3 linked regions of the Ovis aries genome follow. The protein of the gene in region 1 binds, or shares a complex with, the protein of each later gene. Links are inferred from orthologs where the notes say so. Each region holds a gene or a part of one and is shown on either strand. Other genes may lie near its edges.

Region 1 (4,683 bases):
AGCGAGTTATGGGTACAGGATGAGAGATACAAACGATGCATAAAATAAACAGGAAACAAGAATATACTGTATGGCACAGGGAATTACAGCCATTATCTTATACTTTTAATGGAGCATCATCTGTAAAAATACTGAATCACTACGCCTTACACCTGAAACTAATATTATACTATAAACCAACTATACTTTAATAACATAAAAGATCCAGTCAGATTTAAGTTGAATGTATTCATCCAATTTAAATCTTCTAAATTATGTAAATGATCTGATTAACTGTTGTAAAACTTTATATGCCCCAAAGAAAAAATTTTTAAAGAGTCAAAACAACGAAATGTCAAAAACAGATTTATAACTCCTAACCCCAAAAAGTAAAATCTGAAGTTTTTAAATTAAGGTTTAATCCACCTTTAATTAAGGTTTTTAATTAAGGAAAAGAATCTGCCATATTTTAAAATCAGAAACAGAGTCATAAAAACAATCACTTATACTCAGAAATAAAAATAAATGCAAACTCATTCATGGACATGCTTTTTAAAAAAAATTACAGTGGCCAGAAAAGAGCTTAAATGTCCAACATATAATGCAAATGTATCTATAAGATATTACCACATGAAAATGAAATTTTACAGAAAAGTTAATGTGCTCAAGTAAATTACACAGCTGAAGGCAAATTTACATGTTTAAGATTTGTCTTGTTTAAAATAATTTTTTGTGTAGTTTTGAAAAGATCTCCTAATTCATCCTTCATTGAGCAGGACTACAAGTAGGCACCATTATGATACTTCCAGGCAAGAGACCTATTTTTATGATGCAAACCAGAGCTACCAGGTACAGATACAGCTTGCCACTAGAATGCTTCAGAAATAGTATACTTTAAAAGAAAAAAAAAATTTTTTAAGGTAATGTCTACACTAGTAACTTAATATATTTAGCTTTTAGGCACTTAAAAAATTTTTTGTAAATCAATTTAATAACTTAAAATTCTAAACTTATTTTCAGAGAAAAAGCTGATCCTTTCAGTCACTGCATCAATGTTAAGATAAACGCTCCTGTTTGACAGATGCTCTTGACACTTATTTGAACTGTATTTTACATCTACTGAATGTTTCGGGCCTTTAAAGTTCATTATAGTCATAACACTAAAAATCACAACAGCTGTACTGAAATACTCTTTTAAAGAGCTGCAGATGGAAGTTAAGTAACTCGTCAAAGGTCACCCAACAAGTCAGTGACAAAGTTGAGGGCAGGACTAAAAACTTCAACTCCTAGACTACTAACTACTTCAGACTTCTCCAATTCTACAAGAGAACAAAGTCAAGCGATTTACCTCCAGTAATTTATAACAGGATACCTCAAACACAGAAGTACACTTAGCGCAAACACTAACAGGCAGGCTCACCTGGAACAAATGAGACAACCTGCTCCACCGAGATACCACTGCCACATTCCTAGATCTTGTAACCAAGCAAAAACCCACTGCTTCTGGATACAGTATATCCGGGGAAACGTTCACCCTTCAATACATACAATTTATTTTCACACTAACTGACCATTTATAAATTAATCTGTTAACACCTTTTCCCACGCCCAGGTGCTGGCGGGGACGGCAGGGGCATTAATTTCCTCATTTTTCCAAGAGTCAACTCCCAGATGGCGTATCTCGAAAGTAAGCAGTTCTCAATGAGAACACAGTTATGTAGCCAATGAAAGAAAAGTTCTAATAAGTTGCTTCTTTCAAAGAGATACTTTAAGAGGATGATTACATGCTTGCGAGAATTACTGTTAAAATCGCCCGCCCAGAATAATGGTTCTTGTGAAGCAGCTTTTAAGGCATACCCTCCCTTGCTAGGCACATACAGTCTGACTTGTTGGACGAGGATGGATCTGGGCACGCTCATACAGCATCCCTAGGAACCAGCTCAGTTCACTGAAAACATCTCCTCCACTCCCAAGTGTGGTCCTCAGCCCTTTCCATACTGTAAGGGACAAGATGAGCCCTACCTTAACAATCTCTCAGGAGGAAGGTTCCCTCCGCGGAGACAAGTGACAGCCGGCCTCCCTCGGATGATTTTTCTTTTTTTTGGAAACGGCCAAGTGTTAACAGCCGAAGAGGCTCCTAGTGAGTGGCGGTGCGGCAGCAGGTGAGGCGGCCCTTGGTGCCGAGCCGGTCCATTTCTGACCGAGTCCTCCGCCTCCCGGCCGGGTTCCGCCTTACAGACCTGCGCCCAGGCGCCCCTGGTCTCTCACTCAGAGCCGGACTCGCAACCCTCCCCGGGAGGCGAGGCGGCCCGAGCCGCGACCAGACGGCCACCCCACCTCTTCCGGGGACTCGCAGGCCCGGCTCCCCGGCCGTGTCAAAACCTGACAGACCCTGCCGGAGGGGCGGCAGCCGGCCCCACACGCTCCCGGGGGCCTCCCGGGCCGAGCCCCGCACCCCGCGGCCCCTCGCCACCGCCCCCGCCGCCCTCCTCCTCCCGAATCCCCCCTTCCTCAGGAGCACTCCGGTGGAGTTACCGGCCCACTCCAAAGTGAGAGCGGCGGCCACCCCGGCCCCCCGCTGTCACCGCCCTGCCCCCGGCCTCTGCCCACGCCGGGGCCAAGTCCCGCCGGCGCCCCGGTCGGTACCTTGCGGACCCCCTTGTAGATATAGAAGTAGAGCTCCCGGCCCACATTGAAGCAGAGGCGGTCGCCGTTGCCAGACTGGTCGTTGAGGTTTACGAAGGAGACGCGGACAGGGTTAGAGCCCTGCGAGTTGAAGGGCACCCGGTTGGGCCGGCTGTACTCCGAGTGCGGCAGCAGCTTGTACAGACCTTCCCGGGTGGTGAATTGGGTCTTAATCTCGTTCATCTCCTTCCCTCCTCCCTCCGTCGCCATCTTGGAAAGCAGCGTTCATCCTGCCCTAAGTGCCCGGATCACGCCCACTGCGCAGGCGCCGTCCCGGGGCTCTCGCTCTTCCCTCCCTCCCCCCACGCCCCCGCCCCTTCCTTCTGGCCCCTCCCACCCGCGAGCTGGCCCCGCGGAGGCCGGCGAGGAGAAGGGGCGGGCTTGTTTACGGCCCGACTGCGCAGGCGTGCTCACCTGGCGCGCTCCACGCGACGGGGCGTCCGCAGGCTCCTCCCCCCGCCTCCGCGCGACCTCGGAGCCGCGCAGGTGTTCTGGTGCGGGGCGTGCGGGGGTCGACGAGCGGGTGGAGGGGCGGACGGGCTGGCTGGACTGAACCGGCTAGCGGAAGCCGCGCCCGGGCTGCGGTCGGCGGCGCGGAGGGAAACTCGGGACGGCCTCCTCAGTTGCCTCGGGCCCTGCCCTGAGAGGTCCCGAGACCTTTAGGGGCTGAGGAGGGAGCCTCTTCGGCAGCCGGCAAGTCGCGGTCGGCGCGTGGGGCGCCGCGAACAAGCGCGGAAGCCTCAGTGTTCTGAGCCAGGGGAGGGCGCGGGGGAGCCCCGAGGCTGGCAGGGGGCGGGCCCCCCTGTCCTGAGCCTCCGCTAGGCTGCCCCGCGCGACCGTCTGGATGCGCGAGTCGGGAAGCCCCTCTGCGCTTCCCAGAGTCCGTTTCCGACAAGGTACTGAAGGACCTCAGCTTGCCGCTTCATCTTTATTTATTTTTTTCCCCTTTTTTTAAACGGATTGGCGGGGAGAGGACATACAGATATGTAGCATCTGTGTTTGCTAGTCAAATATCTGCATACCTATCTGTGGTGAGCATTGGCTAATTTCAGGAAAGCAGGTTGTATCCGCGCTTGTTTCTTGAGTGTATCTCCAACAGGTGTTTGGAGAAAAGGGGAGGGGTCGGGCCGGGTCGGGGAAATGACTTGTGGAACCAGATACTGAATCGAAGCAAGATTCCCTTCTCTTGCGCCGAAGTTTATTAAGAGCTCTCCAGAAAATGGGAGACTTGATTTTTTTATCAGGCTCAAGTGGAATCTGCAGAATGGTTTACTCCAGGATATGCTGTAGTAGGTCTCAATTGTAAAGCAGGCACGCGGATTAAACCGTCACCCTTTTATCCTTGGGTTTCTTAGCATATTGCATTAGAGTAAGAGAGTTTCTCAAGTGATAAACATTCTAATAGACTTCGCGGAGTTGGAGTGCGAGGCCAACATTTGTTACACCAACAATGTTCTGTTCCCTCAGTACAAATCATAGATGGAGGGTCACAAAAGAAGTAGAGGGAGGTAAGTTGTAAAGAGGAGTTTAAATCATAAACATTTTATGTATCACAAAGCAAGCAGATGCCAGTGCAGACGGTGTCACTGATGTAATAATGCGTTTGACGCTGACATCCCGTATCCGATGTGCATGTTGGCAGAAAAGCTCTAGAATAAAACCCTACTTAAAGAATGGATTCCTAAAACACCTAAAATTTTGTGTTACAATTGTTTTGATGTTATTATGTTTTCTGCTAAAAGTCGAATAGGCATCAGAAGTCTTGATAAATGCCACAATGTATTCTGCGTCCCATGTATTTATCCCAATTTCCTGTAACCATGTTATTTTACGTTGAAAATGTGTATAATCTTCTTGAAGGATAGTGACATCCTGAATCGTCTAAAAATGATTCAACTGTGTTCCTTAGTTACCAAGGGGCGAAAGCATAATAGTACTTCTTGGAGGAAAAAAAAAAAAAAAACCTAAGCTAGCAGAAATTAACCCTCAAATTAACAGCAGGTTTCAATTACCAATAAT
Region 2 (4,067 bases), on another chromosome or scaffold:
AGTTATCTGATACTGTTTTCCTCTGTTCAGATGTCTTTACTTACTTTAGAAACAGAATGCTCCAAAAATGGAAAAGCGAGATTACTGCTGAGGATAAATGACAGGAAATGGGCTGACGCAGACCATGGAGGTTAAGGACCGTGACAGACGTGGACCCCCCCCCTCCCAGCTATCTTGACCATGTTCTGAGCAGGAAGGTGGGAGGGAGGGACAGCTAACGTTCTCGTTCTCTGGGATACAATACACTGTTGGTACAAGTTTCCAAACACCAGGGGAAATGGAGGAGTGTCCTGTTTTAAAATTATTACAAGAAGGGAATTTCTTGGTGGTCCAGTGGTTAGGACTTGCACTTCTACTGGCTAGGCCCTGGTTCAATCCCTGGTAAGGGAACTAAGATCCCACAAGCTGTACAGTACAGCCAAAGTATGTATGTGTGTGTGTGTATATATATATAATAAAATTAATACAGGAAATTGTAAACAGTCAATGAAAACTGTATGTTCTAAACATAAATGTTGATTCTGCAATGCTCTTGTGGTCTGAGAAACTTTTTGAGCTATTTTATAAATTAAGGTCTATAGATGAGATAGTATACTAAATTAGCAATAGGAAACATACACACAGCCTTGTAAAATCAGAAAACTTATCTTTGAAGGTTATCTCCAAAGCCTTCTAAAAGTATTTTTCATTATTATTAATGTGATGAACATATCCAACTAGTCTCAGCTTTATTTTGTAAAAATAAAGAATTCACTTTATAAAATCTCTTTAAGCAGCATCTTTTTTCTTTTTTTTAACCAACAACCAAGAAAAACAAAAAAGAAAACCAACAGGACTTAAAACTTCTCAGAGTAATATTTAGATGGCAGTGGTGGTGGTTTAGCCACTAAGTTGTGTCTGACTCTTTGCAACCCCATGGACTGTAGCCTACCAGGCTCCTCTGTCCATGGGATTTTCCAGGCAAGAATACTGGAGTGGGTTGCCATCCCCTTCCCCATGGGATCGTCCCAACCCAGGAATTGAACCTGAGACTCCTGCACTGCAGGCAGATTCTTTACCAACTGAGCTACGAGAGAAGCTCCTATTTAGATAATAAGAACAGATATCAGATCCAAGCAATAACACACTATTTTAACAGATAAAAGCTTTAAGGGGGAGATGGTAAAATGGATCTGAAATACTCATTCTGAAATAAACTCATCTCGGTCCTAGAGCACCGGGGGTACGGGATCTCTGGCAGGCCCACCTCTGAGCGGCCCTGGGGTGTCCTGTGTGCACTGCCCGCCCCCAAGCCTCCCGCCTGCATGGCCCACGCCCGTTACCTTCCACAGTGCACCACGACGGCCACGAGGTCATACATTCTGTCAGGATTGGTCGCGTCGCCTGAAGTGTTAAACAGACGAAGTTCTAAAGGGAAAACCACCCGGTAAGAAAGTTTTGTGTATCGATGAAGCTGATCCATATACTTAAATCTTTTCAGATGCAGAGCTAGAATCATGGGCAGCTTTTTCACTTTCATCCTGTCAGGATAAACATGAAGACAGAATCTCGTAACAGACATTCACCGTGTCCTTAAAAGAACTATCAGACTGCAGGACTCAATAACCGCTGACAGTCAGTTTTATCAGCCCAGCACCGCCCACTTCCGCATTCTCTCTACCTGTGCCTCTTCTAAGCTTTTCTTGTGTGCTGGGGTAGAACTGACTCATAATGCTGTGATGGTCTGGGGTGAACAGCGATCTCCTGTCACTCCACCATCAGCAGGGCAACATTCTGATGGTCTTAAGACGGCCCCCTGTCCCTCATCATCTCCAAACCACATAATATGACGTGGAACTCCGTGTGGCTCCCAGACAGAGGTGTAGCCCTTTAAGAACTCTGTACTCCTGAAACAGAGGTCCCTCATGACCAGGCAGACTGCAGGCGACGCCTGTGTCTGGTAGAGGAAAAACCGGTTCCTAAGAGCTGCTGTGCGCAGAGACTGAAATCCATTCGTTCTGCTCATCTGTAAGTCAGGAACAGACTGGGAACAGGAGAGAGAGAAGAGCAATGGAGACCAGCCACTCAGGGCGTTTCACAGACAGGATACAGCTTCTTACTAACAGCTCTGACTGTGCGGATCCCACAAAGGCAATACAATAACCTGGAAACACAGGAATGAGGTTTCTACCTGTCAAGTCCAGGCCGCCTCATCCTCAACAATCCTGACGACCCCCTCCACGCCATCTCTGCTCCCCGATGTCACCGCACGGCAGCCTCTTCCTAACAAAATTCACCGCCAACGCTTTCCCTTCCGACAGAAACAGCTGTTCTCCTCGGTCCTCCACCAGCACTTTACAGACTCACCCTGTCTCGGAACAGTCTGCTACACTACAAAATACAGAGATGGCTGTGGTCTCTCTCTCTGTCTAGGGTCTGGACTCTGGGCAGACAGAAACCATCTCTTTCATTGTATTTCTTCACCACCCAGTAATATGCCTGGCACACAGCAGGTACTTGACAAACAGTGCAGGACTGAATTCTGTATGTGTTCAGTGAAGCAAAACACTTCTCATGCTAAAAAAAAAATTTACTAAGCCACTGCCTCTAATAAAGTGAAAAAAAATTTTTTTATAGCCTTATTCGAAACCTGCATTCTACAGATCTTAAATGTGGAGGAGCAGCAGATTATCCCAGAAATATTTACTAACCTGGCCAGTGCAAAACACTAATGAAAAGAAATGTAAAAACCCAATCTTTGCTGGAAAACCAGCCAGCCACAGGAACCAACAGTCTTTATGTCCTTTTCCTCAATAATTCCATTTCTAGAAATTAAATATATAACCTCAAATACAATATCCCTGAGCCCTCACTGAGACTGAGAAACAGGGATATTTATAATCTCAAAATACCTCCACACAAAATGCATATCAGTTACAACTAGGGAGAAAGCACAGCTTAACGCTGGGAGACAGCACCTCAGTCAAGTGACCAGAGAGAACGGTAGCAGTCACAGGACATCCTGGGAAAGGCTGGCTGTGGGGCTGACCCTCAGCTGGCATCTGGGAACTTGATCTGGGGGGACTCCTGCTGTTCCCTAGCTGGTAAGAGGGTCTTGATGTGCCTGAACTTGTTGCGCAGATCATATGGTTTATGCTGAACACCTGCTTCCCTTGCAGGAGCCTGGAGTTTTGGTACACGCCTGATGGCTTGGCGGGTGAAGAATCCCCCTGCGATGCATTAGACGTAGAGACTCAGGTTTGACCCCTGGGTCAGGAAGATCCCCTGGAGGAGGAATAGCAACCCACTCCAATATTCTTGCCTGGAGAATCCCCATGGACAGAGGAGTGTGGAGGACTGTGGTCCACGGGACTGTAAAGAGTCGGACACTGCGTGACTGAGCGTGTACGCACACGCAAGCAGGGAGTGCCTAGGTGGCCTGCCCCCAGTAAATCTCGGGCACCACACCGAGTCTGTGATGAGCTTCTCTGGGAGACAATGCTGTCACATTCGATGCTGGAGAAACAAGTGTGTCCATGTGACTCCACGGGGACAGGACACTTGGAAGCTGGCTTGGCTTCCCCTTTGCTGATCGGACCTGTCACTGTTCCCTGTGACAAACCTTAGCTGTGAGCAGGACTACAGACGCTGAATCCTATGAGTCCTTCTAGGGAACCATCAAATCCAGGAGCGGTCGTGGGGGCCCCGACACATGACACGTATCAAAATCGTGTACCATTTAAAAAGAACACAGCCTCACCTCTGTGTGATTCCTGCCCAGAATACAAAATCTAAACCTCATTACATTAAAACATGAGATGGACTCAAAGGAGGACATTCTGTAAAATACCTAACCTGTAATTTTTAAGTGTCAAGAGAGTGAAAGTCAAGCAAAGACTGATAAGGAACTGCTCCCAGTATAAAAAGATGACAGAGACACAAATGGTAAATGCAACGTGTGCCTCTGGACTAGACCCTTTTTTCCTATAAAGGACATTACTGGGACATCTGGTGATGCTAAAGTAAGGTCTACAACAACAGTAACATCTCAGCGCTGCTCTCCTGACGTGGCCGGACATGGTACAGGG
Region 3 (4,067 bases), on another chromosome or scaffold:
GCAGTTCCTGGCACACAGTGGGAGTATCCAGTAACTTACTATCCTCAGGCTGGAGTGTTGAACTTGAGTATGCATGGCTTACGATTTGATACACTTGGGAACAGTTAGGTTTTAAATGTTTTAAATCTGTGTCTCTATTATTTATAATGTTTCCTTGGACATTTTGCTTTCTCAATAAGGCCTTCCCTGACCCACCCTATTTAAAGCTGCAACAATCTACCCTTCACACCTCCTCACTCCATGCCTTCCCTCCTCCCCCTACTCCCTGGAGTCCCTACCCTCATTTCTAGCTTTTTTTTTTCTCCACTGCACTTACGACATTCTGATGTACTGTCCAGTATACTTGCTTTTTCTTTCAGACTGCCTTTGTCCACTGTTCTGTTGTCAGAGCCTAGAACAGTGCCTGGCATGTGGTGGGTGCACAGTAGATAAATCTTTATCAGAAAAACACCATGACTTTGAAATTGGTGGTATGATTCTATACACCACTGAGTAGCATAAAATATACTCCAGGTATCTGAGCTTAGAACATTTTATTTGGAAGTTCTGAGTGGCAGTTTGCTCATTACCTGTCCTAAACCTGCTTTCCTAATGGAAGGTCATTGAAGCTGGGTAGAACAGATTTGAGGGACGATGAAGTTGGGTGAGGACAGGAATAGGCTGACCTCATTACCTCATCTACGGTTTACTTCCGACACCTGTTTTCAGCATGATCATCTCCAGACTCTGTAGCCACTAGGGGAAATGTTGGTCTCAATAGCGGGCTCTCTCAAGTATCCTTTTGCTTTCTTGTCTGTTTTACACGCAACAGAACTTTTGCTGTTTTTCTCTTTCAGGGCACCAATGCCTCTGCTCTGGAAAAAGACATTGGTCCAGAGCAGTTTCCAATCAATGAACACTACTTCGGATTGGTCAATGTAAGTATTTTGAAATGTACTGTCTTAATCAGGTGTTTTAGCATTCTTGAAGCAATGTCACTGCCATTTTCATCATTACCAAGTTTTAAATAATTGGTCATACTCCTTGGTTACCATAGGTGGCAAATACTAGAGTAGGGGATATTTAGTCCAATTTTTGGAAGTATGAGTTGCCCCAGAAGAGGAGGTTTAATTAGTGCATTATTAGGTCAGATTCTCATTTTCCCCCCTGTGCTTTAAAGGATTTCCTTTGCACACTAACTTTCAGAGCAATATTATTGGCCTTTGTAGCAAAATCTGCTTTTGTGTGTCCTCCCTTTACCATCTGAATGTGCTCGTCAGATTGTATACATCAGCTCAACCAGAGCTCATCACCAGTGGTTGCTTCGTGGCATAATTTGGTATCTGAAGCATGGGTTGGAAGTGGGGGGAGACTGGGGCCAGTTTATCTCTAAATCCCTTGGCCTCATTTCACTTGTGCTCAGCAACGGTCCCCTTGTATATAGCCAGACTTGTTCGGCACTGTGTCCTGGATAAGTTCATGATAGCTGGGTAGTAAGGCAATATTACCCACCACCCTCATGAGCTTTCTTCTCCAGCTGATCCTTTCTCTCTGGGGTGGAGGATGTAAATAACATCAGCTGCTACCTCACTAGCACCAGGTTTTCTAGAACAACTGCTCTGAGCATGGTCTGCCAGAACTCAGGTGTCATAGGTCATAGTCTCTACTGAGTGTTCTGAGTGAATGCCGCTGTGGACTAATGGAGTGGACATTGTCTCTGAAGTAGTACAGACCTAATCCAGAGTCTGCCTGTGCTGCTCCCTAGCTGTGTGATCTTGGGCAAGTCACTTGCCCTCTCTGAGCTTCCATTTCCCCTTCTGTGAAATGGGTCACAGCGGTTTCTACACTTTGGCTTATAGTGAAGGATCCGTGAGAGCTCCTACTGAAGGTCCTGACATGAGGCTGAGGCACAGTGACGCTCGGTAAATGTTAGTTCCTTTTCTTTCCCAGGAGCCAAGTGTTACTAAAGGGTGTCTGGCTAAAGGTGAGGTACTGAGTAAGGAAAAGAATGGGAGGAGGAGGCTAAAGTACTGGCATATAGGGCACTGTGTTGATGGAATACTGACTTAGAATTTTAATGCAGCGTTTTAGGCATTGGGCAAAGGCCTCTTGCTTAAGCTCTATGAGGATAGTTATTTAAGTTGAGGGAGTTCTGCCTTGGCCAGGGAAAAGATGGATGCAGACTATGGAGGAATAAAGAACTAAAGCCATCTCCTAGCCTGTGGAAGCATTGTGAGATCTAAACCTAATAATAGTTTTGTACATGTTCACTTTGAATGGTAGTTCATGAAAGTTACAGCTTCTCTTTAAAAAGGGGTTTGTCTCATCACGTAATTGTGTCAAAGTAGATTAAAATGTATAAAAATAGGAAGTGTTCTATCAGCATACGAAGAAATGTCCCGTTAAGGATGGCCGTGCATCTGCCTCACTCTTGGGCAGATGACACACAAGCCAGCTACCAGGCTTGAGAAGGTGTTCATGTTCCATTTCAATCTTACACAGCATTTTCTAATCTGCTATTAATCTTCTAATTGTCCTAGATGGTTTCCCTCTTTATTTTAGCACATATGAGCAACTCTAAAATGAACGTCTCCGCTATGTGTTCTCCCATAGAACTGGTTATCCAGTCAGTTGAAAACCAGTGAGATGATGACTTTTTGCCTCGTTAAATCATAACCGTGGCTTTTGAGAAGTGCAGCGTGTCACTCTGTGGGTCCTGTTACGGTGGCAGGAGACCAGGACCTATGTGCTATTGTATTGAGACAGTGGCTACTTTGGCAGAAACGAGATTGCTTTGGAGAAAGTGAGGCGATTAGTCTGAAGCCTGTGGCAGGAGTGCCAAACCCTTGAAAGAGAGAAACTTAAAACAAGTCCCCACTCAGTTAAGGCTGTTTCAGCTGAGCAAGCGGTTCCTAGTAGCTGGATTTCTTTCTGATTGAGGTTTTTATTGTCCCTGTCATACGAGTTTTGATGTGTTGCAGTGTGACGTCTTTTGTGTCGCCAGCTGCTTTTCTATGTCTCCATATCATGTTGATTTTTTTTTTTCTTCACCCTCTCTTTTGAGCACCAGAAAGTCTCATTAGATTTTTAAAAACCAGGGCCGAGTGTCCCTTATCATTTTATAGAGACTTTTATAGCCTAGCGAGCTCTCCAGCTTGTGTATACTAGGATTCATTTCCCTGGCGATCAGCTAGTCACTGGTGTTCGGCCTGGCTTGCTGGTCTACCACGGCATGCAGCCCGTGACACAGGGGATCTGGGCCAGTTCACACCAGGGCGGCCCCTCCCTCTCCTCGCTGCTGCAGAGAACCCTGATTTAAATCGGCCCTCTTGTCCTTTGGCAGTTCGGAAACACATGCTACTGTAACTCCGTTCTCCAAGCCCTGTACTTCTGCCGGCCGTTCCGGGAGAATGTGCTGGCGTACAAGGCCCAGCAAAAGAAGAAAGAGAACTTGTTGACATGCCTGGCAGACCTTTTCCACAGCATCGCCACGCAGAAGAAGAAGGTCGGCGTGATCCCACCAAAGAAGTTCATTTCGAGGCTGAGAAAAGAAAATGGTGAGTAACATGGAGACGAATGTGTTTCAGATCTGAGATAAGGAGAATCAACAGGTCTGTGTAACCTCAAAATGAATCCCCCCCCTCTTTTTTTTTTAAATGGGAAAATAGTATGGCCAACTACTCAGGTTTTAAATACAAGATATTTCTTCTTTTCCACCCAGTAAAAATTGGATTCAAAAAATATACTTAAAAATTCTGATTGGAACTTCCCTAGTGGTTCAGTGGTTAAGACTCCACAGTTGCAGTGCAGGGGCTGTGGGTTCCATCTCTGGTCAGGGAATTAAGATCCCACATGCCACATGGCCAAAAAAAAAAAAGTAATTAATCCTTCCAAAATGGAATGATCTTTTTATTTGCTCCACATTCGGAGGACTTTTTTCTGGGTAGGATCATTATAAGAGGAAAAATTGCCCAAGGCAGGACACTGACTGGAATAAATAGGTTGATGTAGTAATTGAATAAAATAGTACTGTCTTATAAACTTGTCATAAGTGATTAAACTAAATGCACATTATCTAATTAGAGCCT

The links. Proteins that work in one complex are often made in the same cells at the same time.
Region 2: the proteins of WDR20 (region 1) and USP12 are in contact, whole or in part, in a crystal structure (PDB 5K1C), measured with the Homo sapiens proteins. The link is inferred for Ovis aries from reciprocal best matches to the Homo sapiens genes WDR20 and USP12. Residues at the interface, in NP_653175.2 of Homo sapiens: Asn41, Ser42, Gly44, Ser45, Arg151, Ser170, Lys259, Ser260, Tyr261, Phe262, Gly263, Glu282, Asp283, Asp284, Leu285, His301, Lys304, Ser305, Trp306, Gln374, Asp375, Thr376, Arg516, Met517, His533, Glu534, Arg535; in NP_872294.2 of Homo sapiens: Glu207, Asn209, Thr210, Ser211, Thr213, His214, Arg217, Arg277, Val279, Phe280, Pro281, Leu282, Glu283, Leu284, Arg285, Phe287, Asp297, Met299, Gln342, Glu345, Tyr348, Thr351, Ser352.
Region 3: the proteins of WDR20 (region 1) and USP46 are in contact, whole or in part, in a crystal structure (PDB 6JLQ), measured with the Homo sapiens proteins. The link is inferred for Ovis aries from reciprocal best matches to the Homo sapiens genes WDR20 and USP46. Residues at the interface, in NP_653175.2 of Homo sapiens: Asn41, Ser42, Gly44, Arg151, Lys259, Tyr261, Phe262, Gly263, Glu282, Asp283, Asp284, Leu285, His301, Lys304, Ser305, Trp306, Gln374, Asp375, Thr376, Leu509, Arg516, Met517, His533, Glu534, Arg535; in NP_073743.2 of Homo sapiens: Asn205, Thr206, Ser207, Thr209, His210, Arg213, Arg273, Val275, Phe276, Pro277, Glu279, Leu280, Arg281, Phe283, Asp293, Met295, Gln338, Glu342, Tyr344, Thr347, Ser348.

What each region holds. Positions count from the first base shown.
Region 1 is NC_056071.1:64,614,675-64,619,357, reverse strand, and holds the start of WDR20 (WD repeat-containing protein 20), read right to left. Parts: upstream 2,897-4,683; 5' UTR 2,875-2,896; coding exon 2,626-2,874; intron 1-2,625. UniProt on the Homo sapiens protein: Regulator of deubiquitinating complexes. Activates deubiquitinating activity of complexes containing USP12. Anchors at the base of the ubiquitin-contacting loop of USP12 and remotely modulates the catalytic center of the enzyme.
Region 2 is NC_056063.1:32,987,190-32,991,256, reverse strand, and holds part of USP12 (ubiquitin carboxyl-terminal hydrolase 12), read right to left. Parts: intron 1,521-4,067; coding exon 1,323-1,520; intron 1-1,322. UniProt on the Homo sapiens protein: Deubiquitinating enzyme that plays various roles in the regulation of the immune response and inflammation.
Region 3 is NC_056059.1:69,023,565-69,027,631, reverse strand, and holds part of USP46 (ubiquitin carboxyl-terminal hydrolase 46), read left to right. Parts: intron 1-836; coding exon 837-917; intron 918-3,322; coding exon 3,323-3,536; intron 3,537-4,067. UniProt on the Homo sapiens protein: Deubiquitinating enzyme that plays a role in behavior, possibly by regulating GABA action. May act by mediating the deubiquitination of GAD1/GAD67.